Lonchura striata: one gene and its partners. The protein of the gene in region 4 interacts with the protein of the main gene of each other region in a pairwise test. Links are inferred from orthologs where the notes say so. Each region holds a gene or a part of one and is shown on either strand. Other genes may lie near its edges.

Region 1 (7,147 bases), on a different chromosome or scaffold from region 4:
GTAGGGACAGGAGAATGAGAGGCTGGAGAACAGAGTCATGAAAAGGGACCTGGGGGTCCTGGTCAGTGGCAAGATGAACGTGAACCAGCAGTACCCTGGTGGCCAGGAGGGCCAACCCTGTCCTGGGGCATCAGGGACAGCATCACCAGCTGGGCAAGGGAGGGCTTGTCCTGCTCTGCTCTGCTCTGCTCTGCTCTGGGGCAGCCTCACCTTGAATGCTGGGGACAGTTTTGGTCACCACAATATAAAAAGATATTAAACCATTAAAGAGGGCAATGGAGGGCAACCAAGGTGATGAAGGGCCTTGAGGAGATGCTGTATGAGGAGCAGCTGAGGTCACTTGGTCTCTTCAGCCTGGAGGACACTGAGGAAAGACCTCATGACAGTTTACAGCTTCCTCAGGAGGGGAAGCAAAGGGGCAGGTGTAGATCTCTTTACCCTTATGACCAGTGACAGCACTTGAGGAAACAGCATGAAGCTGAGTCAGGGGAGGTTTAGGTTGGAGATCAGAAAAAGCTTCTTCACCCAGAGGGCGGCTGGGCACTGGAACAGCCCCCCTGGGAAGTGGTCACAGCATGAAACATGACAGAGCTCAAGAGGCATTGGGACAGCACTCTCATGCACATGGTGTGAGTCATGGGGATGTCCTGTGCAGCCAGAGCTGCACTCAGTGATCCTGATGGGTCCCTTCCAACTCAGCATATTCAGTGATTCTGTGACTATTATATTGTGAATTAAAACTGGATATTCATGTTAATATAACAGCTAAGTTAAATAATAATATTGAATTAACTCCATTATCTAGGAAAACTTCAGAAGTCAATGCCAGTGGGAGTGCAGCCTTCATGGAAACCTAAGGGCAGGACTCAATACCTACATGATAGCTGAGCTCGCTGGCCACAGCACACTGCCCTGAAGATCAGGGATATTATTGCATCAGCCTCTCTACAAACTGCTTGTAGGAAATCTCCCTGATCCCACTGCACATGCACTTCAGTTTCTTTGGGGCACAAGGCACATTTGACCTCAGTGTGTTTTGGTTTGGAAAGACAGGTGTCTGCTAAGGAAGGCAGGTGCCTTCCCTGAAATGTTAAAAAAAAAATATAGACCCCCTCCCTCTGGATTGTTACCAATTTGAAATTAAGGGGGGCTCTCAGGCAGAAATATGGAAGCAGGAATAACAGTTCTTTATTAGGAAAGAAAAAGATAAAATAAACAATGCAGTGAACTAAAACAACACTGACAGAATACAACTGACACCCTGTTAGTCAGGGTGTCGGCAGCAGTCCAATTGGGAATTATGGCTGCAGTACTCCTGGAGGGTTAGGTGTGGTTCTGTTGGAGCAGTAATCCTGTAGAAAAGGGTGTAGTCTTCCTCTGAAGATGCAGTAGAAGAGGCAGGTATTCCTCTGGGAAATCCAGTGCAGAAAAAGCCATGCTGATGTTCCAGAAACTCATTATATCCAGGTGGAAATGCTTGCCTCCTCCCTCTGGGAGGAGCATTTTGCAGTGGGATGCTGTAATTTTTATCAGTCATGCAGTGACATTCAATGGCCCATTAACAGCAGATGTCTCCGTGGTGGGAGGATTGGTTTGCGGAAGAGATAAAGAAAACTGTCCAATTAAGAGAAGATAACTGACACACCTCTAACAGATGGCAACAGAATACATCTTGCCTTGCAATCTCAGACATAGCAATGCTGCCATTCTGAACTGCCCCTTCATCTCCATTTAAGAATTATTTTCCCAATGGAAAATGTGAAGTGGGATCCATCATACCCTGCTTTAGACATCTATCACAAGGTGTCCTCAGCAAAGCTGGATGCCCAGATTTCTTCTGGATGCCCAGATTTCTTGTTAGGGTCAATGCAGTTTAGTCAGTGATGTCAGTGGAATTTAGGATATGTTTTGCCTTGCTGGGATGATTATTATACTCAATTCTTTGTTTCAATTTGCTCCAGCATCAATGCAAGCAACTGATAAGGACTATTCTAAGTGATGTTAGAATCGTTTTATAGGAACAGGCAAATGTTGGGTCTGTGGCCGCAGGCAAATGCAGATACGTTTTAATATTGGTCTTGATAAATATGTTCCTCACCCTTAATTAGAAATGACTGTTAACTACACTGTTGAAAAGATAAATTTTTATGAAGTCACATATTTGGCATAGTGTCTGAACAGATCTGGGGGGTTTGGTAGGGCTGCCTTTCATAGCGCGTTGCATTTTTCAGAAGGAATTTGAAGAGTTTGAAATTAAATTTAAAAAAATTCACACAAGAAACCCCTACCTCAAACAAAATGGAGCAGCAAAACCAACTGTTTTAATGCAACCCAAACTCATTCCTGAGAATTGCAGAAGTTGATAGTTCAGGGATTTGTGTAATGTTAAGAGTTGGCACTGATGTCTCGTTATTCATGCTCAGGACAGATATTCACATCACCCCACAGCAGTTTGCCTTTTGTAAAGATACTACACAAAGCTTTCAAATCTATAAGAAGTACATGTCCCTTAACATTTGCAGGTTTATTAGGCGTAAATACTTCCTCAAGACCAGAGTCTCCTCAACCATGCTGGGGAGCCCTCGCTGCAGCCCAGGGCTGGCCCAGCAACAGGGCTGGGAATTCACATCACTGTGGAATCAGAACTGCCTGAGGTGGCCCTGGAAATGCACAGATGGAGGTTTCTGGGCTGTCAGAAATGCTTTGCCAGGGGCCAAATGGCAGCTGGACCAGGGCAGTGACCCTTCCCCTCCCCTCAGCACTGGTGAGGCCACACCTCAAGGGCTGTGTCCAGTTCTGGGCCCCTCACTACAAGAAGAACATTGAGGGGCTGGAGCAAGTCCAGAGATAGACAATGGATCTGGTGGAGGCTCTGGAGCACAGGTCTGATGAAGAGCAGCTGGGGGAGCTGGGGGTGTTTGGCCTGGGGAAAAGGAGGCTCAAGGGGGACCATGTTGCTCTCTACATCTCCCTGTAAGTGGTACCAAACAGGTTCTTTCACCTGGTGTGCAAGAAGCCAATCCACACAGAGCTGAGGTATTTCATTTTTTTACACTTCTCTGCAGAAAGGGGTGCTGGGTGGCAAATCCACAAAGCCAGCAAAATGACTACCAAAACTTTTCACTATTTATGCATTTTAACAAAGGCACTAATGTTCATTCATAAGAAGTTACTTAGTTATCTTATTAATTAGTGTTCTATCTTCTATTGGTTAATGATTCTCTCACTTCTCATGTTAATTAGTCTGTATGCTAAGTCTTCCTCTTCCTCTGAGTTGGTGGCTTTCTTGAGTCATGATTTTCCACTGCTGGAATTGCTTTTTACCTCATGGAAGCTGATGCAGCACAGTTGTTGAGTTGTCCTTATTAGTTTCTTCCTCATCTTGAGGGGTCTGTCAAATGTCCTCGTGGCCCATAAATTCTGCATTCTTTGTGCCCACTGTCAATGGCACATCCTTCTTCCCAAGCTCATTGTTAACTTCCCCCTAGGTCTGAGATCACTGAAGCATATCCAGCACTAGTCCTTAACAAGGCAACAAGTATTTTTAATTTCTAATGCCTGGACATCACTTAGCCCTTGTTAGCTGCTATCTAATTCACAGATTAAGTCTCCTTTCTTGTTGATTAGGCTTGAAGATACACCAAGAGCAAATGTCAAAGAACATCTTTTCTTAATTTTCATCTCCCAGGTAAATAGCGCCAGGGTGACAGGAGCAGAGGGCATGGCCTCAAGCTGTACCAGGGGAGGTTGGACATCAGGAAGAATTTCTTCACAGAAAGGACGATTAAACACCGGAATGGGCTGCCCGTGCAGTGCAGTCGGTATGGATGGAAGTGTTGAAGACGCCTGGAGGCGGCACTCAGCGCCGTGGTGCAGGTGACACGGCGCGTCTGGGCACAGCTTGGACATCGTGGCGGTTTTACAAGGCAATGACTCTGTGGGGAGGGCAGGCGCCAGGGCGGCTCTCCCGGCCGTTCCTGTCGGATGAGCTGGCCCAGACCCACACAGGCTCTGCGGCAGCCTCGGGCCGGCCGGGCCGGGCCGAGCCGGCACCGCCGCCGTGCCGGGCCCCGATCCGCGTTCCCGCCCGGGCCCGTTTGGCCGCGCACCGCCGCTGCCGCGCGGGCGCTTCCGGCGGGCGCGTTTCCGTTTCCGGCCGCGGGCAGCCATGGCGTCGCGCAAGGAAGGCTCGGGCGCTGCCGGCGGCGGCTTCGGCGCCGCCAAGGGCAAAGGCAAGGCCGCCGCCGCGGGAGACTCGGCCGTCAAGCAAGTGCAGATCGACGGGCTGGTGAGCAGGGGGCCTGGGGCTTTCGCGGGCGAGGCGGCCGCTGGAGCCGCCGGCGGGGCCCGCCGTGGGGCGGTGCCGCGGGAGCCTCGTGTCTGCTGGGACCGGCGCCTCTCGCGGGCGAGAACGGCTTCGCGTCCCTGCGGCCGGGCTCCCGCCCTCGTCCGTGTGAGGGGAGCGGCTCGCGCCCCGTGTAAGCAAAAGCCGGGCCGGGGCAGAGTGATTTCTCTTTAAATGTCCCATTTCACCTTCCAGCTCCGCCGCCCCTGTGCCCGGAGTTGCTCTTTGCTGCTTTTCTACTCACAGTCATACCCTATTGCCAGAAAATGCCGCAGGTCTAAGAGCTGAGAGCACGGTGGGTTTTTCCCTCACCCTTGTGCTTTTTGCCTTCTCTGTCAGGGCTGCCATGACCCCCTGCGTTTGCTTAATGGGAAATAAAATAAAGTGACGGGTGAAATGACTTGACAAAGAACAGAGCCATCCTAATACAGACAATCAGTGCAGGCCTGAAGTGGAAGAGCATCTACTGAAGGTGGTTCTTGGCTGTGCTGCTGGATCTTTTTGTGTTTGTTGGTTCAGGCCTTAGAAAGTTGGTAACACTATTAATGACACAAGGAGAAAAAGTTACTTAGGGGTGGAAACATTGTTTTTTACTTCATTAGCTTTGCCAAGTGTCAGTAGAACATTGTACAGCTGGAGTGTGAAGGAGTTGGTACCCTGGTTATGAAAAATAAAATCATAGTTTTGAGACAAACTTTGAAGCCTGCTTGGCATTATTAGTGGTAGTCCTCAGCTCTTATCCTGGAGATATACAGTGTAGTAAATATTTGGGAAGATGAAAAATAATTTATTTGTGTGTAGAAGGACTTGTGAAAGAGGAAATCTGAATCCCATTTTTTCTGCCCTGCTCTGTCCAGCTATCTGTGTGCCCGTGGCTTTGGTGCATGGAGCATTTTCAAGGAGTGGTGAAAACTGACTGGTTGTGAAATGTTCGTAAAAACCCAGCAGTAGATAGCAGACTGCTCCTGCTGCAGGCTGGTGCCAAACACTTAGATAAAAGCTGGTAAATTTGATTTATGTTGCTCCTGATTGTTCTCTATCAGGCATATAATCTGCTTTGTGAGCTGCTGTTGTTTCAGATCAACTGTGAGTGTCTCTGATGCTCTGCTTCTGACAGTCCAGCAAGTGTTTAGGATTTTTTTATTTGTTTGTTTCATGCTTTTTTTCCCTTCTCCTTGTATTTTTTTCTGGTGCAGCACAGTGGTGCCTCTCACACAGTGTCACTACAGAGGGAGGTGATTTACTGAAAACTATGAAAGCTTTCAACTTTCCACCCCTGAAGATGTCTCCTAGCCAAAGTGTTCTCAGGACATTGACATTGGTTCATAAATTTCTCTGACATCTGTGATGGACAGAAACGTTGGCATAAATTTGTTTGCTTTGCAAACAAAGTTTATTCAGTTATAAGTCCTTCAAATGTCTTACTGAAATTCTTCTGAAGTGTTTCTGATACCTCACTGGTTTAAATGTCTTATCTGCCCTCACAAATTAACAGGACTTCCTCAGTCATCTTGATGATGACCAGGGTGATTACATGCCAAGAATTCTGAATTGTGATGGGCATCAGGGGAGTTGGTGATCTCTTTCTCTTCAGTGGTGTCTCTTCTCTTGGCATTGTCACAATTAATCCTTCAAATGGGGCTGCTTTGAAAGCAAAGGCATGTCTAGGTAGGCTGCTTTGGAATCTGAGGGCAAAATAGAAGATGCATCAGTTATCTCTGTATGTGAGAAGGTGAAAGTATGTTTAAAAAGCTTGGTGTTTCAGAGGAATAATAAATTAAAAAACCCCAGTATCTGTCATGAAAATAAGAAGTTCTAAATGTTATGCTGTTACCTTAATATGTAACAATGCAGCAATGTCTGCTTCTCAGACCTCTTTTTAAAATCTGGTACAGATGAAGCATCCTGGAGTTAACTTCTTTCTTACTTTAATCTTCTCAATTTCTTAATAAATACTTAGATTGAAAATAGATTCCAGTGTAGATGGCCTGGTCTTTGTAAAAAATTAGAAAATGCAGAGTGAAAAATAACCCTCCAGAAGCACATTATAAAATGTGTTTTTCTTTCAGGTGAGATGTAAGAATTCACGTATTTGTTTTTGGCCATCCTGACAAAAAGATCAGATCAAGTGCCATATATTGCGTCCTGTTGTCCTTCCTATTGTAGAAATTTGGATAGTTTTCTCCAGTCAAGGAGCCCAAAGAGAGCTTGTGTTTACAGTGGTGCACAGGCCTGGGAGAGAGTGACTGGTGGGAAAGAACCCGTGGGTGCTGGTTTACAGCAACCAAACATGAGCCAGTGTGTGTCCAGGTGTCCAAAAACACCAGTGGCCTCCTGGCCTGGATCAGGAGTGCTGTGGCCAGGGGAATGATTGTCTCCCTGCATTCAGCACTGGTGAGGCTGCACCTCAAATCCCATGTTCAGTTTTGGGCTCTCTGCTACAAGGAAGTCACTGAGGCCCTGGAGCATATCTGGGGAAGGGTCTGGAGCACAAATCTGAGAGGAGCAGCTGAGGGAGCTGGGGGTGTTCAGCCTGGAGAAAAGGAGGCTCAGGGGAGACCTCACCACTCGTTCTGCTCCCTGGAAGGAGGCTGTAGCCAGGTGGGGTTGGTATCTTCTCCGAGGTAACAAGTGATAGGACAAGAGGAAATTGCCTCAGGTTAGTATAGGGGAGGTTTAAATTGGATATTAGGAAAAATTTCTTTACTGAAAGAGTGGTTAAATATTGTAACAGGCAGCCCAGTGTGGTGGAATCACCATTCCTCAAAAGTGTTTGAAAAAACATGTAGATGTGGCACTTAA
Region 2 (7,573 bases), on a different chromosome or scaffold from region 4:
CACTACCTCACCAAACCTCAGCTCCAACTAGGACACAGGGATCCAGTCCATCATTTCTTGCCTCTAGTACTACTTCTAATTTAACGTAAGGTCAACCACAGGAATATGAAGGTTACATTCGTATTAATAAAAACAATGTCTTAATCGCTAGGGCTTTCTTCTAAACTTACAGACCAACAGGAGAGGAGGCACAACGTGCGTCTCATGCTCCTCGGGAAGCCGGCAGAGGAGCGGGGTGTTTCTGAGGGATTGCCGGGCATGGCGTTTTTCTCCCTAAGCCGATCCTTGCGTTCGGACCGAGGGAATAAATTATTTCAGGTCTAATTCCACCGGTAGCTCGCTGCTCGCCGCAGACAAAGGTATTTTGCAAATCTAACTTCGATCTCACCGACTCTTCGCAGCAAAACGACACAAAACCACCCGTGCTCCCCTTGCAACTGGCTTAGTGAGGAGCTCTGCATAATCATTACTCAATTATAATGTTTTCCTGATTCCTTTCTGACGCTGTCATTATTATTTAGCAGGGGAAGGTAACCCGCTGCTTCGACACCAGACAGTTAAAAGTGGCACTGAGCGAAAAAAGACTTTGCTAAAAGTCTGTACGGACTGGGCTGATTTACAATCAAAACCAGGAAATGAAGTGGTAATTCAGAGGTTGCTGATTACACCTCCACATTTCACCTAATTAATTTTATAGGAGGCAAAGTTCTTGAAAATAACAAGATGATCAAATGTACAGATATAAAACCTGTAACCTCAACATTTTCTATGCTCTTAACGTAAATTATTGCTAATTAACAAGAATTATATACCAAAGTATGAAATACGGCTGGCACTGTGTTCGCTGCAAAACATTTGGCTCCCGATGGAGGCAGAGCCAGAAAAAAAAATGCTTTTTATTATTACTGCTACTTTTAGAACATAATATAAAATACCGGGATTACGAAAAAAACACCAGATTTCACCTGGTTTTGCCTCCGATTTGCAGGATGCATCTTTTAATTCTGGGGCAATCAAAATTCTCTGGCTGGGTCCCTAATCATCCGTCTCTATTTTTCATGCAAATTGCCCTTCCACCAACATGTCTTTTCAGCTTTCCCCCTTCGCCCTCCTACTCCCCCCTTTTTTTCCCTGTTCCCAGCCACCAGAACAACCGCACCGGCAAAAGAGGGATGGATTTTGGAGTGCCGGGAGAAAGGAGGTACTGGGGGTGATGGGGCGGGGAGGGGGGTGCCACAGTACGGTGAGGAGAAATGCCCGCGGGGCAATGCAGATGCGCTGCTGGGGCATTTTCCTGCACCGTACCGTGGGAAGGATGGAGAAGGGCTGTTTAATCCCAAGTTTGTGTCTTCGGATCACAGCGGTGCGAGGAAAGGGAGACTTGGGGGCACAATAGGAACCGCCAACACGTTATGGGGAGGGAGGGGAAACCCGGGGAGGGGGAAGGCGAGCATCCCCGCTACATCCCGGAGCAAGCAAACTCCGCGCAAATTAAGAACAAAGAAGAGGGAAGAGGGGCGTGGGGGGGTGGGGGGGTGGATGGGAGGGAGCTGGGCGCCCTCCCCCTCCCGCCGGCCGGGAGGCAGCGGAGGAGCCGGCCAGGTTCAAGTTCGCGGGGCTGCCCGGTTGTTTGATCTCGCTGTGCCTCCTAGCGACCGAAGCGGGCACGGATCCCGCCCGCCGCCTCCGCCCCGGCCCCAGCCCCGGCCCCGGCCCCGCCGCCGCATCCCTGGCGCGCCGCTCCCTCGGCCCGGCCTCCCTTTCCCCCCCCCAGCTCCCGGCCCACCCACACCCCCCTCCCCATCGCCGGGGCGGCTCTCGCCGGAGGAACCCCCCGGGCCTGTCCCGGCCGCCGCTCCTGGCCCGCACGTGCGCGCACTCCGCGCCGGCCCGCGGGTCTGTCGGCGGCGAGAACCGGCCGCGGGATCCCGCCCGTCGCCGCTGCCCCGGGGGCCGAGCCTGAGCCCCCCACCCCCTCCTCCAGTCCCGCCGCGATCCCCGTTCCCCGCATCCCACTTCCACGACTGCCCGGGAAAAGCACCCCCGTACCCCATTTCCGGGGGCGGGGGGGGAGGCATGCCCATATGCCAGCGATGCTGCGCCCCATCCCTAGCCCGGCAATGAAAAAAAAAAAAAAAAAAAAAAAAAGAGGCGGAAAAAAAAGGCTTTCCGAAAAGTATGAGGAGAAAGAGACGGCGGGGGGAGGGGCTGAGCCCCCGACACCCCCCGGGTTCTTAGGGCAGACTTTGGGCACTCAGAGCCCCCGGGCGGCCCTGCTCGCGGCGGAGCGGACGCCTGCAAAGAGCCAGCGCTGCTTCCTTCCCTCCATGTGCGAACCTGACTGCAATGTTTGGGCGGCCGTGGGGGAAGAGAACCCGCGGCGGAAAGTTTGGGGGGCTTTGCGAAGGGCCGAGGGAGCCGGGGATGGTTGGCAGGAAGAAATGGCCCTGGGTCTTCTGCCATCCCTGGGAGGGAACAAAACCCGTCGGGACTAATGGGAGAGGGAGAAAGGAAGAAATAAAGAAAAGGGGAGGAAAGGAGTGAGGAAAAACATGCAGCATTTCCCCTTCCCCCAGGTTCACCCCGAGGAAAAGGGGATATTTTTTTTTCGCCCTTCCTTCCCACCCCCCTCGCCCCAAACCTTTCCAGCTCGAGTTGCCTTTTGTTGTGAAAAGAGCGCTCCCGCTTATCTTGCATCTAGCCCTGGTGTGTGTGGCGGCGGCTGGAGGGAGGGACGGAGGGAGCCGGAGAGTTTTTGTTGCGAACGGTGTGGTGGGGCTCGGGGTTTGTTTTTTCACTCCCGGGGAGAGCGCATTTGGTTTGGGGTTGAAATGCGGCGGCGAGAAAGGGCCGTTCGCGGGTGTGAGGGTGCGAGTGTGTGTGTGTGCGTGTGAGCGCGCGTGTGTGCTCAGCCCGGGCTCGCTCTCGCCTGTGTTTGTTGGCAGGAGGCTCCCCGCACACGCGGTGCTTGTAAACATTCAGACACGAGATTTTTCCCAATCAAAATCCACTTCCACTTTTTTTTTTTTTTTTTTTTTGAAAATCTTCCAAAAAATAGTAAGCGAGAGGGAGAACGCGAGGCGAGGGCGAGGAGGGAATCCCAGCCGGCGCGGCGCGGCTCGGCTCGGCTCCCTCGCCGCCCGGTGCCGTCCCCCGCCCCAGCCCCAGCCGGAGCGGCGGCGGGGCGGGCGCGGGGCGAGGTCGGGGCGACGGAGCCCCGCACGGCGCCGGCCCGAGGCGGCGGGGAGCGGCGGGACGGCCACCCCGCACCCCGCGGCGGAAACAAAAGGGAGGCGTCCCCGCTTGGCTCGGCTTTGCCTCCCCCCCCGCCAGGAGGGAGCCGCGGGGCGAGGGGGCGACCCCGCCGGCAGTCGGGGGGGCTCCGGCCGCCGGACTTTCTCCGCGCTCCGCTCGCCGCCCATCCCGCCCGCCCGGCCACCGCCGTGTCCGGCGTCCAGCCCGCCGCTCCCGCAGGAATTTCTTCCCACTTTCGGCCGGTTGTGCCCCCGGCAGCCCCGCACCTCGTCCGCGCCTTTCCTGGTGCCGGGCGAGAGCTGCCGCTCTTGCCGCCAAAGAGCGCGGAGAGCGGGAGACGAGAGGAGAGCGTGGAGCGGGGCAGCGGAGTGCGCGCCGGCGGGCGAGGGGCACGGGCAGAAAAAGAAGAAAAGTCATCAAGGTGATTAAATTAGAGAGGCAGAAATTGCCCGGAATGCTGAGAATCCCGAGCCGGCGCTGAGTTAATTTTTTCCCCGACTCGCTCAATGGCTCTCACTTTTAATTTTTTTTCCCTACTCTCTCTCTCGAATTAAAAATTAAATCAGTGTAGGGTAAATTAAATAAATTGCTCTCCGGGTTACTTACGTGAAAATTCCCGTTTGCTTAAGTGCTGGGGTTTGCCTTGCTTGCGGCGCGACATGGTGGGTTGGTGGCTTCGGTGGCTTGTGAGTCGCTCGGTTCACATCGGGAGAGACGGGTTAGAGAGGAAGGAGACTCCAGAGAAAATATCTTCATCAATGTCTTTTGACATCCAAAATAAATTAGAAATAATACAAAGATGGCGCAGGGAAGATGAATTGTGGGATAGCAGTCATGGCTCTTTTTTTTTTTTTTTTTTTTTGTGCAAGGAAAAAAAAGAGAGAGAGGGAGAGGGAGAGAGAGAGAGGGAGAGAGAGAAAGAGAGAGAGAGATGAAAAAAATGGCAAAAGCCCCCCTGAGCTGCAAGTTCAAGTGCGGACGTGACGTCCCTGCGAACTTGAACGTCAGGAGCCTGGATGGACAGAGACATACAAAACATGGGCAGGGCAAGCCGGGGAGAGGGGAGGAGGGAAGGCGAAGGCAACACCAATGGACACTCATCAGGGGCTGGACATGAAAAAGAGAGCAGGACAAGCCAATGGACAGTGATCGCAGGGGGGAGAGGGGAGGGGGCGCGGCGGTGGGGGGTGCACCGGCCGCCCGGCGCACGCTGCCGAATGGAGCCGAGGGGCCGGGGGCGGAGGGGGCGGCGGCCGGAGCCGCGAGTGGCCGCGGAGGAGCGGGTGCAAGAGGGGACCCAGGAGAGGGGCGAGGGGCGGAAATTAAACACACACTCGGGGAGAGGGGAGGAAAAGGAGCGGGAGAAAGCGAGCAGGCAGGCAGGCAGCGGCAGCTCTCGCACGCACACCCCCGCTGGAAAAGCAAACACATCGGTGAAGCCAGAGCCGGGCAGAGAGGGCTGCGGGGCAGGCTGGCCGCGGGCTGTGCCGAGGAGATGGGGGAGCTGGGGGAAGCCAGGTAGGACCGGAGACCACCCAAAAAGCAACGGGGGGGGGCATCCGGCTCCCGGCTTCCCCGCTCGCCCCCACCCCCCCCCGCCATCCTCCTCGAAGCTGCCGAGTCCCCTCCTCCCGGGAGCTACGGCCAGTCCCCGGGGGACGGCGGCCCCGCGGGGAGCTGGGGGGCGGCGGGGCCTCGGGCCGGGCCGCGGGAAACTTCGGCGGCCAGCGGCGGCCCTTGCCCCGGGGCGGGCGGGGGAGCAGCGAGCGGAGTTTGGCGGGCGAGGAAGCGGCAGGCAGGGGAAGAGAAGCCGCAGGAGCTGGGCGCTGGGGGAGCGGAGGGCGGCGGGACCTCGCGGGCTGCTCGCGCCCGCCAGCCCCGGAGCCCTCCTTCCTCCCCCGGCAGAGCTCCGAGCCCTGCCCGCAGCCACACGCTCTGAACGAAAGCGAAACGTGGGGCTGCTGGCGGCGGGGCGGCGCGGGCAGCGGGCTGGCAACGGGGGTGGGCGGGAGAGTGGGGGAAGCGAGGCGGCAGGAGGCACCGAGAAGTGGCTGGAGTTGGGAGGATGCGGCGGCAGCGGCTGCAACTTCACCGAAAGGACTGGGAGCGAGGCGGATGCTGCCGGCACCGGGAGGGATCAGGTTGCGGTAGAAATAAGCTCTGGAGGCGAACGGGTGTGCGGAGCAAAGTACGGCTGTGGAGGGGAGTGCGAAGGGCTAGCCGTGCCTGGGACGGCGGCGGACAGCCGGAGAGGAACGCCGGGCGAGAGCCCGCGGGGCGAGGAGCTGCCCGCCGCCGTAAGGGACACTTCGCCGGGCAGAGCCGCGGCCGGCCGGGGGAGCGAGGGGGCGGCGGGGGCCGGGGCTCGGCGGGGACCTGTTGGCGGGGCGAGCCCGGGCGCGCACCGGCGGAGCTGTCAGGGGCTGGGGCCGAGCCGCTCCGCCGTGGGATAGTTTCAGCTTCCCGCCAGCCGCCCCCCGGCTCCGCCCGTCGCCGCTCAGCGCCCCCCCCCCTCCTCCTTTTGGCTCCCGCTCCCCTCCTTCATCCACCGGCACGGGGATGCTCCCCGCGGCTGCCGGGCCAGGGTGCGGGAGCGGATGCGGGACGTGGCGGAGGGACCCAGCCGCAGGTGACAACAGCGGTGGCTTCTGAGCTCACGCCGCTCGCAGGGATGGCTGTGCCAGGCGTGCACATGTCCCTGCGCGAAACACAGGCGTGTGGGTGTCTGTACCGGAGATGTAGATATATATATATGGGGCTTGATTTATATCTAATGGCACGTATAAAGCTTTTGAAGGTGGCTGCAATGTAAAAAGTAATGACTTTATTACCCCTGAAAGGTTCTGCGGTTCGCAGTTAACACTCCTCTGAATTACAATTCATTACGCTCTCTAAAGCCAACCTGCATCAGAACACCTATCTGTGCTTATTCCCAATCACAGGCATCGTTTCATTGATTTTCTTTTTTAAAAATCATAGCAAATTAAGAACTTGGTGACAACTAAATCTGTTTTATTATCGTACCGTGTTTGAGATTCCAGAGGTGACTTCCCAGACCGCATCTCAAAACCTCCAGTCAGGAGCTAATTTTACAGATGCTTTCATGAATAGCAGCGAGGATGTTCTTACCATCAGCATGCCCTTAATTCCAGCACCGTAAAAATGCCTCGATTTAAATGGAAACTCGCTGCCTTAAAAATAATATTTCATCTCGGCTGGATAATTATTAATATTAGCATTTGATCGCAATAGCGCTGTCTCCCCCTCGTTCCTGTACCCCCCCCCCCCCCACCCCACAGCGCTTCGCATTGTCATGTGATTGGAGGGAGATAACAAACCTAAAGAAAGAAAAGGAGTGAGAAGACATTTTTAACACGGCATGACCGCAGATTAATAATGCAGGTGGGTTTTTATTTCATTGTATTTTTAGGGTAAGGGAACGAGGCTGTTTAACGAGCACTCATTGGACACAAAGTGACTGTATTTACAATCCTTGGCTTTCGGTGGGTAATAAATTATGACAATATTAAAATTATTTTCTGGCAGCCCAGTTAACTGCGCTGGGGACTGTAAAGCCCCTACTGATTCCACTTACGCCTTGTAATTGAGGTCCATGGTCTCGCTTCAAACCTTTTGATGTGTATTGTGTGTAAACTTTTAGCTAATATACTTTTTTTGAATGAAGGGACTTTTCTCGGTACTTCCTGCCGCATACATTTTGTCTCTGATCTCTGTATTTAATGGCTAAGTCCTGGTTTATGCTTTATAATGTGTTGACAAGTTTTCTAACAGACTTTCTGAAATAATGCACATATATTCACATCGGTTAGAAACTCCACAGTATTTTTAGAGTCGAGTAGATCTATATCCTAATGCACTGAGAGGGAGTGTAAATCATAGAGGATTTCATAGCCCTTTCAGTAGTTTTCTGTATGAAGAATGAGCAGCGTGGCCTCCAGACGTAACCTTTTAGAAAAAAAGACAGTGCTTTTATTTTATTGTGTAAAGTGCTTTTAGCTTCAGGGCTCGGAACGTGAATGTGGTCAACAAACAGCTCTTGCCAGGGAGTTTGCTACAGCCCAGCGCCGGGCGCTATGGGGAGGGATGCGGGGCCGCCCCCGGCCGCAGGACCGGGCTGAGCCCCCCGAGACACGGCCCCCGCCCCCGCCAGTGTCCTGGGCTCGGATACCCCGCGGAAAGGGGGTCGGATGGCCCCCGGCGCTGCCGGAGAGGCTGATGATGGCAGCAGGGTCAGCCGCGGCGCGTCCGGGCGCAGGGGGCTGAGCTGCCTCCGAGCTGGCCCCGGCTCTGGCAGCAG
Region 3 (7,278 bases), on a different chromosome or scaffold from region 4:
GCCTCCAGCATTGCATATTTAAAGCAAGTTGTCTGGCTAATTTTAGCAAAAGCATTTACCTCCCATATTTATACCTCAGTAACCACCTGGAAGGTGGCTCTCCATCTGCAAAATAAGGAGGAGTCTCAAACATCACTTAGTTGGAATTTTACAGGAAGGAATTTTACAGCTCCACTTACCAAAAACCTTTGTCCATTTATGCTGTGCTTCCTCACGACTTTCTCACAGTCCTTATACTTTAGCTGTCAATGAGAAGAAGATGATTGTTGCACCCTTAACTCTAAGAATTAATTAAGACAACATATGTTTGGCTTTGAGTAGATACCTTTTTGTATGCTATGGCCCACCTAAATGGCTCATTTTGTCCCATAAACAAAGATTTTTATGACAGACATCCTTCAGTGACTTAAAGGCTTTCATCCATTTAGGAACATGTTATTCCTCACACTTAGAAACCACCTCACAGCTGCCTGGCCCAAAGAAATATTTGAAAAATGGATTATTGTGGTACTGACTGGGATGAGCAGCTGCAGAAGTAAAGCAAAAACCTGATTATCCAGGAATACTAAAGCTGACTGATCCCAGTCACAGAATTCATTGTTGTGATCAAAAAGCTTTCACTTCTGGATAGAAATCTCACTTGTTAATCCTGGAAATTATCTATAATATTTGTAAAGCTTTTCCACAGTATTATGACTTCCAGTAGCATTTAGGACAAGGATATGCTCTTTAGAAGCTGCTCATGTACAGGTTGAGCACAAAGCAAGGCATGACTTTTAAACATTAAACAGTTGTCCTAAATTTGGTTTTGATTGGGGTTTTTTTGGTCTTTTTTGGTTGGTTTTGTTTGTTTGCTTGTTTTGGGTTTTTGTTTGGGTTTTTTGTTGTTGTTGTTGGGTTTTGTTTGATTGATTGATTTTTGTTTTGGGATTTATTTTTTTTTTTAATTTGAACTGTAATAGTACAGTGTAAGAACACAATTTATAGCTTAGATCTGTTTCAAGTTGGTCAGGTCCCTATCAGAAGGAGCCCAAAGAGCAGACAAAGAAACTTTTGGAGGCTCTGAGACAAAAGAATGACTTTTATTCTGTCTGAAACTTCAGTGGTGAAAGTTCTGCAAACGACCCTGTGCTGCTGGGACAGCTCCCCTACAGCAGAGGTTTCCCAGGGAGCTTCATGTGCTTTGTAGCCCTATCCCAGTTTTCATTTTAAGGTGTAACTTTGTAACTTCGGGTACGGATCCTGGAAACAACCGAACAGCAGAGAGGATATTTTTAGGAGCTACCTTCAGTTATTCATATGAAAAAACTCTGGTAAATATTTTAGGATACAGATTAAAACTTCAGTGCAGACTGAAGACTTAAACCTGTATATAATTTCTTTCCTACAGTGAACGCTATTGTGATGTTACCAGCACAAGTCTGTATGCAGAGGGAAGCAACACATCCCTGTGATTGAGACCTAATCTCAATCTTGAAGTAATTGATTTAAAAATGCTCTTTAGGTATTAAAAACAAACCTTGGAATATCCCAAATATGAACATCTTTGCTTTTTCTAAACCAAAAAAAAAAATCAGAAATTATTTGAAAATTTGGTTCATTCATCCTTTATCTCAGAGATAATATCTCTGAGTTTATATAGATCTCTGAGTATAGAATATTCTCAGAGTTTATCTCAGGGATAAGCTCTGTTCACTTGTGACAGTAGCCCAGAGCCACCTGACTTGGGCTGACATTCTTGTCTCACCCAGATTTTTTAGATTACTTAAACAGCTTTTGTCCTGATTTAGCTCCCAAGAGTGGAATGCCAGTATCTCCATTCTGGATCTTGATCCATAGAAGGGAGGCACTGCAGATAAATGTGCATTCAGTGATGGTAGAACTTACAGTTGATCCTTTTGTCACTGTTCAGGATATTACTATCAGATCTTTCAGAAAGCCGTTTTTTGCCTTCCTAATTTCTTGGAAATGGTGGTCCAACTTTGCTCTGCACTGCTGTTGTAATGTTTTTCGTACTTGTCTGAAGTTGCCTGTTGATAATGATCTCATCTATTCCATCTCCAGTTTTTGGTTTCACTTTCCTGTGCCACTAACTCCTGCACCCTAAAATTAGGGGCTTGTAAGTAGTTGGCAGTTTCACTTCTCTGGAGATTTGGTAGACACAGTTTCTATGTTTGATCTGCTTATCTTTATTAAGTAGTTCTGCATTCCACTATCAAACTTTCCTCACCTCCCTAGATAAGACTCTCACAGTTATAGGAGCCATTGAAAAAACAAAAATAAACTTCACATTATTTCAAAATTAAGCCCGAGGTGTGCCAAGTTTTATAAGTCTAGCCAGGGATGCGATTAACAAAGACATTCAGAGGCTCATTTGTTACACCCAGCAATTTGGAAAAAAATATCACTTCTGAAAATGATTGAAGATTAAACAGAAAACTTGTAATCTTCACACCTTAGTGCCTTCCGCAGCTGTTAACGTGTGTTACACCAACAAGCATTGTACTAACCTGTTCCCTTGCTCTAAGTAAGCCATGAGTTTCTCTTAAACCCAATTTAAAAATCCCTTTCAAGATTCATTTTCGCTGACCAGTTGAGCTCAGCTTCTCATTTGACAGCGGTTTTGCTTTTAGTTCTGCAGCAAGCTTTGCCCATTACAAAAGATCTGAATTTAGCCCTACCAACGTTCCAGCAGTTTGCTCCTCCATCAGATGAAGACAAACCAGGGCCAAACTCACCGTCCTGAAATATTCTGCTAAGTCCTCTGGGTCCCAGGTGAGCACGTCGGAGCGGTAGGGGACGTTCCGCAGGTCCATGGTTGGTGTCCCCCGAGGCTCAGGGAGCGTTCACAGCCCTGCTGCCAGCGACACTGCCATGGGCTCCCTCTCTGTGGCCACCTCCAAGGAATTTCTTGCCCAACCTCCAGCTCCTTCTGTCAAGGAACTGCTCTGGTCAATTGAAATGATGCTGTGAGTTCGTTCCAGAGAGACACTGCTTCCTCTGGTACAAAATGGTCTCTACTCCGAGAAGTTTCAGCTAGTCAGCCTTACCACTTCCTTTCTCTGAATATAAATAAGTAAACAAGGAAGCACAGCAGAGGGTTGAAAATGCTCTGCCTGCTACACAGAAATAAATGCCTATGGACCCTAATTGCTTTTAATTGCATTACTCACATTATACATGCATAAAAATATTGTAATATTATTTGCATAGGTGTGGGTTACTCTTCTGGTAAGGCCCCACTAAGAAGAAAACATTGACTTAAGAGAAACTGCTTTAATTTACCTCAGTACCTGAAATATCCTTATTTGTACAATTAAAGGTTATTGTCAGAGCTGCACATAATGGGGAAATAATGAATTAATGATGGAATTGCAGTCAATATCCCTTCAAATAAAGAATCACTCAGTGAAACTAAAAAATGTACAAGTTTAGATGAAAAATTATTATGTTGCCATTGTATCAATAGTTCATTTTTTGGCTACTTCTTATGAGGATTTGGTATCTGAAAATGAACCCACAAAACCATATTATTACCACAGGGATGTGATAAATTTTCATCTGTCCTGCACAACCAATTCAGGCACCCTCCTATCAGTAGGTGCCTTTGCTGAGATTACATAGAGTAATTCCAAGTGTGTCCTTTTCAAAAAGAGCCAGCATGTCCATTCTCCCTTCTCGTGGAACTTGTGCTGTGCTGCTGTGAATCCTTGGCCTCACTCCTCCATTAGACTGCACAAAATTTCTGAGTTTCCTGGACTGGTAAGAATAGGTGCATAGTTCTGAAGCGCTGGGGAGGAAATTTCCTCTTCATTTTATGGAGAAATGAAATGCATCCCTCTTGTCTCCAGTCACTGACAGCCTCCTAGCCTCATGTCTGCAGGTGTGTTGCACACGAGTGCATGTATTTGAGATCAAACCTACCAGTCTTCACTGTAAGAGTTTTCCTTTTGAAGTTCAGAGTCTGATTTAGAGTAGCTTACTTTTTTTCCTGTAGAAATTCTGGTAAATGATGGCAGCATGGTATTTAAAACGCTCTGGAATTAAACTGCTGTCAGAGCTGTTCTAAGAAGAGTAGCATTTATCAAATACATGCTACAGCTGTGTTTTCTGGGTTCTTACTTGAAATTACCTATGTGAATCATCTGAGGCAGGTCCTGACAATATCACAGAAATATTATCACCTCTAGGTCTGGGGATGAAATAGGACTGAAGGAGCTGGTGCCAAAGAATCCCCAAAGGAAAAGTTGCTTTGCTGGTGCATTGTCAGCAGTGGTAAAGGGGAGGTTACATAACTACACCTCAGACATCCCATCACAGCCCCTGGATCTCTCAGGGAAACAAGCAGGAAGGCAGGGAGAAGCCTGTGTTAAATTCCTAATTGCTTATTCTCAGATGTGTCTCATTACCCTCTAATCTGGTTTCTATCCCAAACCCAGTGTAGCAGATCTAATTGCAATTGTGTTACTCCTTATTTGTACTAATATGAAATTAATTAGTCTGGTCAAAATTTATGCTGGTGGTGTTATAAGGAGAATTACAGCATCATTTATTCTGATGCTGAGAAAGGAGGAAAGCAGTTACCTCTGAAGGCAATCTCCCAGCATCAAGAGCAGCTAACACAGAAATTCTAACACATGTATCTATTATTATTTGTTTGCATCCTGTCTGTGGCACTGTGTGCATCATAGCTAAGTGCAGATTTCATGCATTTCTTGCAAAACCCAGCTGCACACGAATGTGAGCTCTGTCTTTCTCTACAGCTTCTTTTGTAACATCATAAGCACATCAGATGTGGTGTCTCAGTAAGGCTTGCTGAGGAAACACCACTTTGTATTTTCTATATATGAATTTTCAGATATACTCCTACAGCAGCTGGCAATCTCATGAGATGGATTTTAAGCTCTTGGATTTTCAAAAGCTAAGGAACACTGCTATTATCGGGAGCATATTTTTTTATTAAGATTTTTTTCCCCTCTTTTTAAAAACACTAAGTGTTTCATAGGTATTTTATAGCCTGCAGTGACACAACCTTCACACCAAAAAAAGCGTCCCCTCAATAACAGCTGCCAATGGTAAGACTTTTCTGATGCAGTGCTGGTCTGGTGACTGATGATTGAAAATGTGAGACTCAAACCATTTTAAGCAACACAGGGGGGAAATTCACACTGCCGACATTCTGCTGCCTTCAAAGGGCAGCAACATTTTCCATTTTCTCTCACCTCTCTCTGGTGGTCTTCTGTCTCTGTTTTAAGTGGAGTCAAGGGCTTTGAACCACTTTCAGAAGGGTTTACTTTTCTAGAGTAACTCAGGTTACTCCATATCCCTAGAGCCAAAAAAAAAAGTTCAAACCTTGTGAGAATTTAATCTTCACGTTCATCACATCCCAAAGAAAGTGGATCTTTATGAAGTGGTTTTCTTTTGTCCTGCCCACATTTGTTTTAAAAAGACTGGGGTAGATCCTTCCTTTTACCCTGGAATGTTTACCCTAGACATCCTAGAGCTGCCCTTTACCATGGCATGCCCAGTGCCCAGGCTGTGTCACCTACCTGTAACTGTGAGAGGCTGAAGTGTCAGCGTTAATTTGGTGCTTTGCTGGGGCCAGATTGAAGGGAAGGAGAGGTTTTGGATGTGTGGTGGACAAACCTCTGATCCTAAGAACAACCCTGGTGCAGAGGGGGTTCAGATATTTTCTGAAATTTTAGATATTTTCATCACCCACCTTGGGAGGATGAGCACAACAATCTGACCTTTGCTTAGCAGTGAGCTGGGGTCAGAGCCAGATAAGGGAGATAAGGGAAGCAGACCCTGTGAGGTGGGATAATGCTTTTTACCACATCAATGTCCTCCCTTACACACCTGGCTCAGGTGTAAGTTAAACTCCTCCTGGAGAAAGTATCAGGATATTCACATTCACACCTAGGCCAATTTGAAAAAGCAATTTGTAGAAATGGAACTTCCAGGCTTCCTCCCCAGCCAGCCCCACTCTGGTGACTGCCAGTGCCAGAGATGGACCCTGAATATGAGACTTTAATGGGAGCAGCACCTGAGGTAAATGTTAACCAACCTCCCTGCCTCTGGAATGTATGGCTTGAATAAAACTGTCTGAGACACTGGCTTCAAATCCAATTTCATACAAAGCAAATGAAAAAAAAGTGTTCTCTATAGGAACTCAATCCTCAGCAAAGACTTTCCTGGATGGAAACAAAACATGCACACTTGAAGCATCTTTTCCCGTGTCAGTGAATTGTGTTACTCTGAGCAGGTGTCAAGATGGAGTTTAGGCAATTCCGAAAGGCCTGAAATCCTAAAATACAGCCACTGTAGAGTGCAGCTGGATTCTATCCAGAAACCAAAGAGAATCAAATATCTACTAAAGTCCTGTAAAAAATAAGGCAAATACTTAGAGATATTCTAGCAAGAGCAGTTTGCTCAGGAATATGTTTTGTTCCACTCTGTTTGGGTCATAAGTGGCATTATGTGTCTGGTTTGTCCAGAAATGCTGCAAACAAATGCAGAGAACACTTAGGGGACCTCAACAGAGCTGTCTGTCAAGGAAAGACTGAAAAAAATGCTTGCTAAGTCTGAGAAAGGGAAGCTGGAGATGAGGGAAGGAAAAAAGAAAATAAACTTTGTGACAACTAGCAGTCAGTTGTTCCCATGAGCTGTGAAGGGCTCTGCTAACAAGAAAAGCTGCTGCAATCTTGAGAAGGAGGAACTGGGGACTGAAGAACTGCTCCAGTGTTTGTGCTGCTCAGTGCAGCTCAGCAGCTCAGTTCAGGAGCTGCCAAGCAGGGTCAGCTGTCCTGTGACACAGAAGGGGCCAAAAGGACACCTGGAACTGTTCTGCTTTGGACATGACCCTCCTGAACTAACAGTGCCTTCCAGGGACAGAACTGCCAGTGAACACCACTTTTGTACCTGAGGTCACCAGTTTGATGGAGACATTGGAGCTTAAGTTAAAGCATGTTAAACACACACCCTTTAGTCTGGCTAACTGCTCAAACCCTTTCCCCCTGTGCTCACAATTTCTTCCCCAGCTCCAGCCCAGGGGCAGCTGCCAACACCTCGGCTCTGCAAGGCTCCAGTTACCCCCAGGATTTTTTTTCCACCAGCCCAGCTCCCTTTTGCCATCCCAGCTCCTGCTCTGGTTCCCACCCCAGCCCTGTTCCTGTCCCCACTGCAGGATTGGGCTGTGCTGGGGAACTCCCACCTCCACTGGAAACCTGAGTCTGTGGGAGCTGCTGAAGCCTGAGGAATTCTCATTCAGTGCTTCCA
Region 4 (7,733 bases):
GAGTAGCAGTCCTGAGCAAAGTCCAATGTGGGCAATACCATTTTGCTGACATAACTTACCACAGCTGTGGAATGCCATATCTGCACCACTGGGTCTGCACAGCTGTGGCACATGTCAGGGGGCTGTGCCCCTCCCTTGAAATGGCTGCACTTCATGGCTGGAAGATGCAATGACTGTGTCTCTGCACTGTGCAAAACAGCCAACACTAGATGGAATTTGGTATTTAAGTGCAAAATGGAGATTACACAGCAGAGTCAAAACATTTAACAGAAATATTTTGAATTTCAAAACTGTATGAAAGATCAGTTTTAACCTTTGAATAGAGTTCAAAAGATGTCCCTCAGCACACATCCACTTTTAAATAAACAGAAGAATCAAGGGCCCTGACATTTCCAAAGCCCAAAACACCGGTTTGTTTTCCTTACATAAATACTTTGAATCTCAGCAACTGTCTACAAAAGATAACGATAGAATTTGTCATAGTTAAATGTGATCTGCTGATAAATTTAGCTTGCAGTTTTACAGCACCTTTGGGGAGCTTTGGTCCATTGAATAGAAGAATTTGGATGTATTGTGAGCTCTAAGGACACGCTCTTCCCCTCAACGTTTTTCATAAATGTCATTGAAGATGCAGCAGCCATGCAGTAAGTGAGAAAAGCAGCTGCCTTACCGCCAGGTTGAATCAGAATCATAGTGCAAATATACTTAAGTGACTCAGCAGTAACTAAGTGAGTATTTGGGATTTACTCTCCCCTGATAGTGGTCATGTAATTCCCCTTCATCTACATGGGAATTGAACATATGTTTTAAGCAGAAACTAAATATTTAGTGATGTAAACCCTTCAAGATTTTTTTTTTTGAGAGAAAATATACTGACAGAAGTTTTCTGTTATTTTCTGTTATTGTTGTTTGTGTCATTAAAATTAGCATTTTTTCAGGTTAAGGAGAATTTAAAATCCCCTTTTTTCTTCCCCAGAATGCCCAAAGATTTTTATCTTTCCATTTGTTATTGATACAGTATCAACAATCACACATGTATAAATGGAGTTTATTAGACTATTGTTATCTTTAAAAGGCAGTTTTGAAAATCAGGAGTAGGGGCTTTTGAAAGAGGTTAATCACAGAATCGTAGAATAAATTGTTTTGGAAAGACTTCTCAGATCATGGAGTCCAACCTATATTAACTTAGATTAGGTATATTTTCATCCCAATAGACTAACACAGAGTGACAAAACACCTTTTGCTGTCTACCTCTGAACTGGACAATGTTGTTTTCCAGATTTTCAACTTACCAGTCCCTCTGTCTCACATCCCTGCTAAAGTGTATCCCTATGGGAGTAGGTATTAGTTCAGACTCTAGATAGAGCAGCTGGTGAGAAAACCTGATGCATCTGGAGAAAAGATCAGGTATTTGTGCAGAAGGAGCCACATCTGGGAGGTGGTTGTTCTCTCCTGCCGCATTGTGTGTAAACACATTAGTGTGGTTTGGATCTGCATGGCTGGGATCCACATGTTCGCATGCCCATCCTGTGGAAGCCACCGCTCTGCCGGGCCGGTGGTAAAGCCCAAGCAGCAGCACACAGGGGAAAGAAAATGGGTAGTCATGAAAAAAGAAAGGCAAAAAAAAAGTAAAGAACTATAAGCCAAAAGACATGCTATTATTTTTTTTTTAGTGCCTTGTGCAAAACATGAACATCAAGATGAATTGACTGCCATTATATAATTGCAAAATAGGTCTATCACACAACCTCTGGGTCTGGGGTTTGCATGTAGCCCTATTTGAAACAGTGGTATGAGGCATGCTGTTTCTTTGCCAAAGACATAGATACATATTTCTATTATTCACCCATTTTTTTCTCTTTTTAGTATATAGTTATGGCCTTAGGCTGGGAAAAATATTTATGCTCTTCTCTACGGTGTATATGTTTTGTAAGGACAGCACCACTCTTATGCATATGCAAAAGTGCATGCTTTACATATTTACTTTCTTTATACAAAAGTGTGCCTGCCACATCATGTACTGCTTTCACTTCTGTGCATATTCCCCCCAATTTATCATCTTCTCATATTTAGAATGTAATTCTCACTCAAATCACAAGCAGCCAGCTCTTCTTAATAACAGTTATTTCAGAGATAACAGCTAATTATGACATTTTAAAAGGCATACATTAATATTTCAGTAGGCTCAATGTTTTGAAATACTACTCAGGGCAACATCTTGGTTGTTTTTGTGGGGAAACCTAAGGATTCATTCAGCAAATAGGCAGTTAAAACATCCTTCAACATATAAACCCTTGCAAACACTTTTTACAGTGTATTCTGTTTGTCATAAGCCACACTTTGGAAAAAACCCCAGCTTTAATGGATCTCTTCTTAATGCAATTAAGTATATTTAACAACAGTATGCTTCAGAGTCCTTAAATTAGTCCTTTGCCTCAAGACAATGTATTCATCCAAATCCCTCCCTAAAACATTCTTATTCTGCAAATCCTATTAGCATTAATCTGCTAAAGTTAGGTGTGTTTTATCATTTTTTTTCAGATACCTGGAAAGCTTTGAGAGCTACCGCTCATTCAGCAGCTAATGGTCCCTTCTAGAGGTCTTAGCCCAGAAACTTCGAAGGGTCCATGCCACCTTGCCTTGGACATCCTCAATTCAACAGCGAATAGGGAAAAAACCAGAGGAGGATTTATTGTGGGATGGCATTAGCAAAGGTGTGGTAAGAGGGACAAAACTTGAGACCAAAACCTAACTGTATAGTATAAATGCAAAGGATGGAAGGGATAATTCACCTCTCTTTTATCTCTTCCACAGTGCATTTTGTTCTAGAAACAACAGAGACTTTTATCTGAAAGTCCTTGGATGACCGATCCCATTTAAATTCAGCCTAAGCCTGTGCAGGCTGGAGTGATGCCTAACCATGCTGTGAGGTGGAGCCAGCAGGGACCCCAAATATTTTCCAGCTCTAAAAAAGCATGGTCAGATTATTGTTTCAAAAGGAAGATTAATACCTCTCTGAAGTGAAATTAAATGCATGCACAAAAACACAGGAAAGGGGATTTCTGTTCCTCCCCGAGGTGCATACAAAGTCTTTCTTGGAAGAAAGAGGTGGCTGCATTTTCCTTTCAGGTTTATCTCACAGGCAAGTGAAAGGCACTTGGAACTTCCCAAACCACCAATTAAGTGCTGTAAGAATTTGTAAAAGTTAACAAGGGGAAGAGGGAGTTATTTGAGGATTTCTAAACCATTTTAAGCAGGAGCATGGAAAGATGGCCGAGCACACATCTTTGTCTCAAGATCTCACTACTATATTAAGCTTGGTCACAGAAAACAAGGTGGCAGGGTTGCTGACTTTAATTTGGATTCAGAGTGGTGTTTCCTAGTCTTGCCTCCAAAGCCAGGAATTGTCTCCTGAGAAGAACCAGTATGGATAACACTCCAGCCTCCTCGCCCTCGGAGCTGCCATATTTCATATGTAAAGATGTATGTATTCGTATGTAAATACGGCATGTAAACATGCCAAAGGTTTACAATATTTTAGAGTGGCTTCCCCCTTCCTTCCTGCCCACCCCGAGGGATAATATTTCCCCATAGCCTAGGGACACTACTGGGGGGAGTGTGCCAAGGGGAAAGCACTGGAGCTGGCAGGTTGGCTATTCCCACTAGAGACCAGGGCCACGATGGGATGCTTCTGTCCTCTGCCTTTAATCACTCGTGGAGATCTTTCCCGTGAGTGGAGAGGCACAGCAGGTAGCACGGGCTGGACATACACCCAGCCACGGGGCTTTGTTTCAGAATTGGCTTACTCCAGAGACTGGCCTGAAGTGTGTCAGGGGAGGTTTAGGCTGCATATTAGAAAAAGTTTCTTCACCAATACGGTGCTTGGGCACTGGAAAAGGCGCCCCAGCACCAAGCTTCACAGAGTTCAAGAAGCATTTGGACAGTGCTCTCAGCACATGGTGGAGTTACTGAAGTGTCCTGTGCTTGGCAAAGAGTTGGGCACGATGAACCCCGTGGGTCTCCTCCAACACAGGATATTCTCAGAATCTGTGGCTTGGGGTGGCTGCCGTGCCCACACGCTCTGCCGAGGGCACAGCACCTACCAATTACCGCCCGACCGGCTGATGTACTGGGCACCGAGGCTGAAACTTCGCCCCGGGCCGGCAGGGAAAAGAAGGGCCGGGAAGAGAAGAGCTACGGCTGCGGCCGCCCCGCGGCTAATGGGCGGCGGCGGGAGCGCCCGGTATCGCGGCTGGAAATTCCCCGGCGGCAGCGGCGCCGCGCTCCCGGCCCGCGAAGCGCCCGGCCCGTGGCAGCCCCGGGGCGAACCCCGGCGCGGCGCATCCCCCGGCCCAGCCCCGAAGCGCGCACATCTCCCCCATCCCCGGGTCTTTCAGCGTTCGCCAGTACTTTTCCCGGGCGCTTCCGCTCCCAGCGGGGCAGCTTCCCCGGGTCTCATGGGGATGGAAGGGGAAGGAGGTGTCAGGGCGCTCGTCACGGGCAGGGGCCCCTTTGCCCCGCCCCGCGGTCCCGGAGAGGTCCTCCCGCAGAGGGGAGGGAGCCACCCAGGCTGTCCCTGCCCGTCCTTCCTGCGCTGGGGCGGGGGAGCAGCGGCCCTCCCGGCGGGCAAGGGGGAGCCCGGAGAGCTCCTCCCGCGCGATCCCGGCAGCGGCAGCGGCAGGAAGGGCAGGGCGGGGGCGGGGGCTGTGCCTGTGCCGGGGGGGGGCGGTTCGCGGAGGAGGGGCCGCCGCCGCCGCCGGGCGCAGCAGGCAGAGGGAAGGCAGGGAGCGGAGCTGCCGCCGCCGTTGCCGCCGCCGAGGGCCGGGGCCTTGGACGCGTCCGGTGAAGAGCGCGGGAGGAGAAGGAAGGGGAAGCGGGGGGAGCCAGCCGGCCCCTCTCGGAGGACGCGGCCCGCATCCGCCCGGGGAAGGACAGAGGGAAGCGGAGGGGGAGCGAGCGGGCGCCGCCGCCGAGGAGACAAAGAAGCGGAGCCCGCCTGGGCTGGGAGCCTCCCCGCCGCTGCTGCCCGCCCCGCTCCGCTCCCCGCCGGCCGGCCGGAGGTGAGCGCGGCCGCGGGCGGGACGGGGATGGGGCCGGGGCGGCGGCTGGGGCCCGCCGCAAACTTGTGTCGGCCGCGGGGGACGACGCGGGGAAGGGGCGTCGGGAGCGGGGGAAAGGCGGGTGTCACCTGTGCGGCCGAGGCTCCGCGGCCGCCCCGCGCAGGAGGGGCCGGTACCTGCCGGGGGCGGCCCGGGGGGCCCGGAGCGGGAGGAGTGTTCGTTGTGCCACGTCCAGTTGGGGGGGGGGGGGCTGGGGGCGGCTCCTCTTCATCCTCCCGAGTTGCCGCTCGTGTGTGTGCGTGCGTGTGACAGCCGCTGCTTTGTGCCGCCCGGCCGGGGGGTAGCGCCGGGCCGGGACGCCACCCCCGCACCCCTCGCGGGGCTCCGGTGAACAGGGGCGGTGGATCCGGCGGCCGGGGCAGCGCCGGGGGAGGCGGGCAGCGCCTCCCGGCCGGAGCGCGGCGCACCCCGAAAGTTTCCCGGGCGGGAGCGGGAGCGCCGCCGCCCCGCGCGGGGACCGGCGAGCGAGCACGCCGGGCTGCGGCGGGGACATCGCCCTCGGTCCGCTCAGTTCGTTGTTTTTCCGTCACCGACTTTCGACTTCATAGGGCTGAGGCCGCGGATTTTCTCAAGGAGCGCGGTGCGCTATGGCCTCGGTCGATGCCAGTATAGGTAAAGGACATAAAGGTAAAATTACACCTCACGTAATGAGTGTTCAGTGAAGCGCATCCCTGCGTGTTTTGGGAAGAAAATTACTGAAGTTTATAAGTCTTCTCGCCCTGTTTTTAATTAAAAATCTGCCCAGCCTAACAGCTGCCCCTTGCTGGCAGGGTAGGCACTTTGGCCTATCTAAGATCAGGTTGCCAGATCGGGATTCAGTTTTGTAGTTCAGGTCTGACCTGCAGCTGGCTGATCATGAGAGCTCTCAGCTCTAGTTTCTATGTTAATATCTTCCACTATTTTTTAACAGTGAATGTGATTCTCTGTGTGCATAAGGGTTTTTCCGTGGATTCTGTGTAGTATTTCACTCTGAACTACCGTGTTTTTGTAAAACAAAGAGAAACCTTTTGTTGTTTTAAAAGTTGTACAGTGACTGAAAGTCGGCAACAATTTAAAGCGTTCTTCAGCTTGAACAGCGTTTCTTCCCATGAAGCTTTTTTCTTCTGAGGAACGTACTGCTGCTGTTCTAGCAGCTTAACGTGGGAGAATTAGACTTATCTTTCATGAAATGTGGTAGTGGCCCTTTGTAAAAACAAATTTTCATGGCCTAACCATGCGTGGTTTGTATCATCGGGAGTTTGGACTGGTAACTTAATATGGAGGAATTTGAAAGGACTCACTGGGTAGGAGATTATGAAGTATTTCTGTTTGAAAGTACTTGTTTTGTCGTTGCTTTTTAGGAATCTGAAGCAGCACCACATAGATGATGTTAATGGTACTGTGTTTTCATTTTTAGGATTATAATTTCTGATGTAATGTTGCTTCTCTGAAATATTGATTTCACAACTCTGGAAATCGAAAGCCTCTGTCTCACCCAAGTGTGTTTAAGAAGTTAAGCAGATTGCTTTGTCTTTGTAACTGACTTTCTTCTTGTGACTTTGACAGAAGATGTCACTTTTGGGAACAGTGAATAAATGTAGCAATAGAAGGCACCCGTACCATGAAGATCAAGACTGTAATTAGCAAATATTTTTATATAGGCCATGAAACGGAGACAGATTCATTATAATGTTAGCTCTTGTTGCTGTTGTTCTGTCGTCGCAACATTAGCTGTTGCATTTGCCTCCTACTTCTACCAGATTACAGTTCGATTGCTTTTGTGAAAAAAAAAAATTATACACAAAATCTCTTTTGCATTATTTTCCCAAAACTAATAGCGGAGTTAGCCCTTGATAGTGTGGATGATCCTTTTTACTACATCCAGACTACTGAACATATGATAAATTCAGAAGTTCAGCCTTTGCCTTGTTGCCTTACAGACAGGGAACTTACCTCCCTTTCCTCTCTTCTCTGTTTTCTTGGTTAGCTGTCTGAAAGCTTAAGGAAAGGTGTTTGCACTCTTCCATGTCACCTCACATCTTCTGCTATATAAAGAAGAGGGACAAGGTCAGCCGTGTCTGCTGCTTTTCCAGCCTTTGTTTTATCTGTGCCTTGTGTTGCTGTTGGTATGTTAATCCTTTGCAGTTCTCATGGCTTTCCTCAGTAGAAACTATAACAGTAGCAACTTGAAAAGTGATACCCAGATAGCTCTGTTTGCTGGTCGTGGTCTTGAGCAGCAGCAAAACTACCCAGAGTATCTGCATTTCTCATGCTCCTTGAGCATTAAAGCTGCTTCCAGACTCATGGAGACAGGTGCTGTATCAATTTACTTGCAGCAGGTTTGAAATCAAAACCAAGGCATCTTTGAATGTAAAGCATACGTTCTAGAAAAATATTTTCTGTTTGTATTGAGGGACTGATGGTTTCTAGGCTGTGGGTATTCCCAAACCCCACTCCTGCTGTGTTTTGAGGAAGGGGAATTGCTGATGTGGATTCATTAGAGATGTTTGAGGGAGTTTGAAAACTGAAACCAGGCACTGCTGTGTTTTGGTTAGTTCAGTCAGCCTAGGGGTGAGGTGCTGGGTGCTCGTTGCTGGACACCCTGCTCCCCCAAAGTAGGTCATCTGGTGTGTC

What was found.
Region 1: the proteins of NCK2 (region 4) and EIF3H interact in binary tests that used the Homo sapiens proteins (3 or more experiments, as listed by UniProt). The two-hybrid records come from large-scale screens. The link is inferred for Lonchura striata from reciprocal best matches to the Homo sapiens genes NCK2 and EIF3H.
Region 2: the proteins of NCK2 (region 4) and BCL11A interact in binary tests that used the Homo sapiens proteins (3 or more experiments, as listed by UniProt). The two-hybrid records come from large-scale screens. The link is inferred for Lonchura striata from reciprocal best matches to the Homo sapiens genes NCK2 and BCL11A.
Region 3: the proteins of NCK2 (region 4) and LCP2 interact in binary tests that used the Homo sapiens proteins (3 or more experiments, as listed by UniProt). The two-hybrid records come from large-scale screens. The link is inferred for Lonchura striata from reciprocal best matches to the Homo sapiens genes NCK2 and LCP2.

What each region holds. Positions count from the first base shown.
Region 1 is NC_134603.1:15,127,425-15,134,571, forward strand, and holds the start of EIF3H (eukaryotic translation initiation factor 3 subunit H), read left to right. Parts: upstream 1-4,136; 5' UTR 4,137-4,168; coding exon 4,169-4,288; intron 4,289-7,147.
Region 2 is NC_134605.1:25,456,294-25,463,866, reverse strand, and holds the start of BCL11A (BCL11 transcription factor A), read right to left. Parts: upstream 3,013-7,573; 5' UTR 2,979-3,012; coding exon 2,642-2,978; intron 1-2,641. UniProt on the Homo sapiens protein: Transcription factor. Associated with the BAF SWI/SNF chromatin remodeling complex. Binds to the 5'-TGACCA-3' sequence motif in regulatory regions of target genes, including a distal promoter of the HBG1 hemoglobin subunit gamma-1 gene.
Region 3 is NC_134617.1:14,843,372-14,850,649, forward strand, and holds the start of LCP2 (lymphocyte cytosolic protein 2), read right to left. Parts: upstream 3,016-7,278; 5' UTR 2,817-3,015; coding exon 2,739-2,816; intron 243-2,738; coding exon 180-242; intron 1-179. UniProt on the Homo sapiens protein: Adapter protein primarily involved in signaling pathways within T-cells, as well as other immune cells such as platelets, mast cells, and natural killer (NK) cells.
Region 4 is NC_134604.1:89,331,579-89,339,311, forward strand, and holds the start of NCK2 (cytoplasmic protein NCK2), read left to right. Parts: upstream 1-4,732; 5' UTR 4,733-5,060; intron 5,061-7,733. UniProt on the Homo sapiens protein: Adapter protein which associates with tyrosine-phosphorylated growth factor receptors or their cellular substrates. Maintains low levels of EIF2S1 phosphorylation by promoting its dephosphorylation by PP1.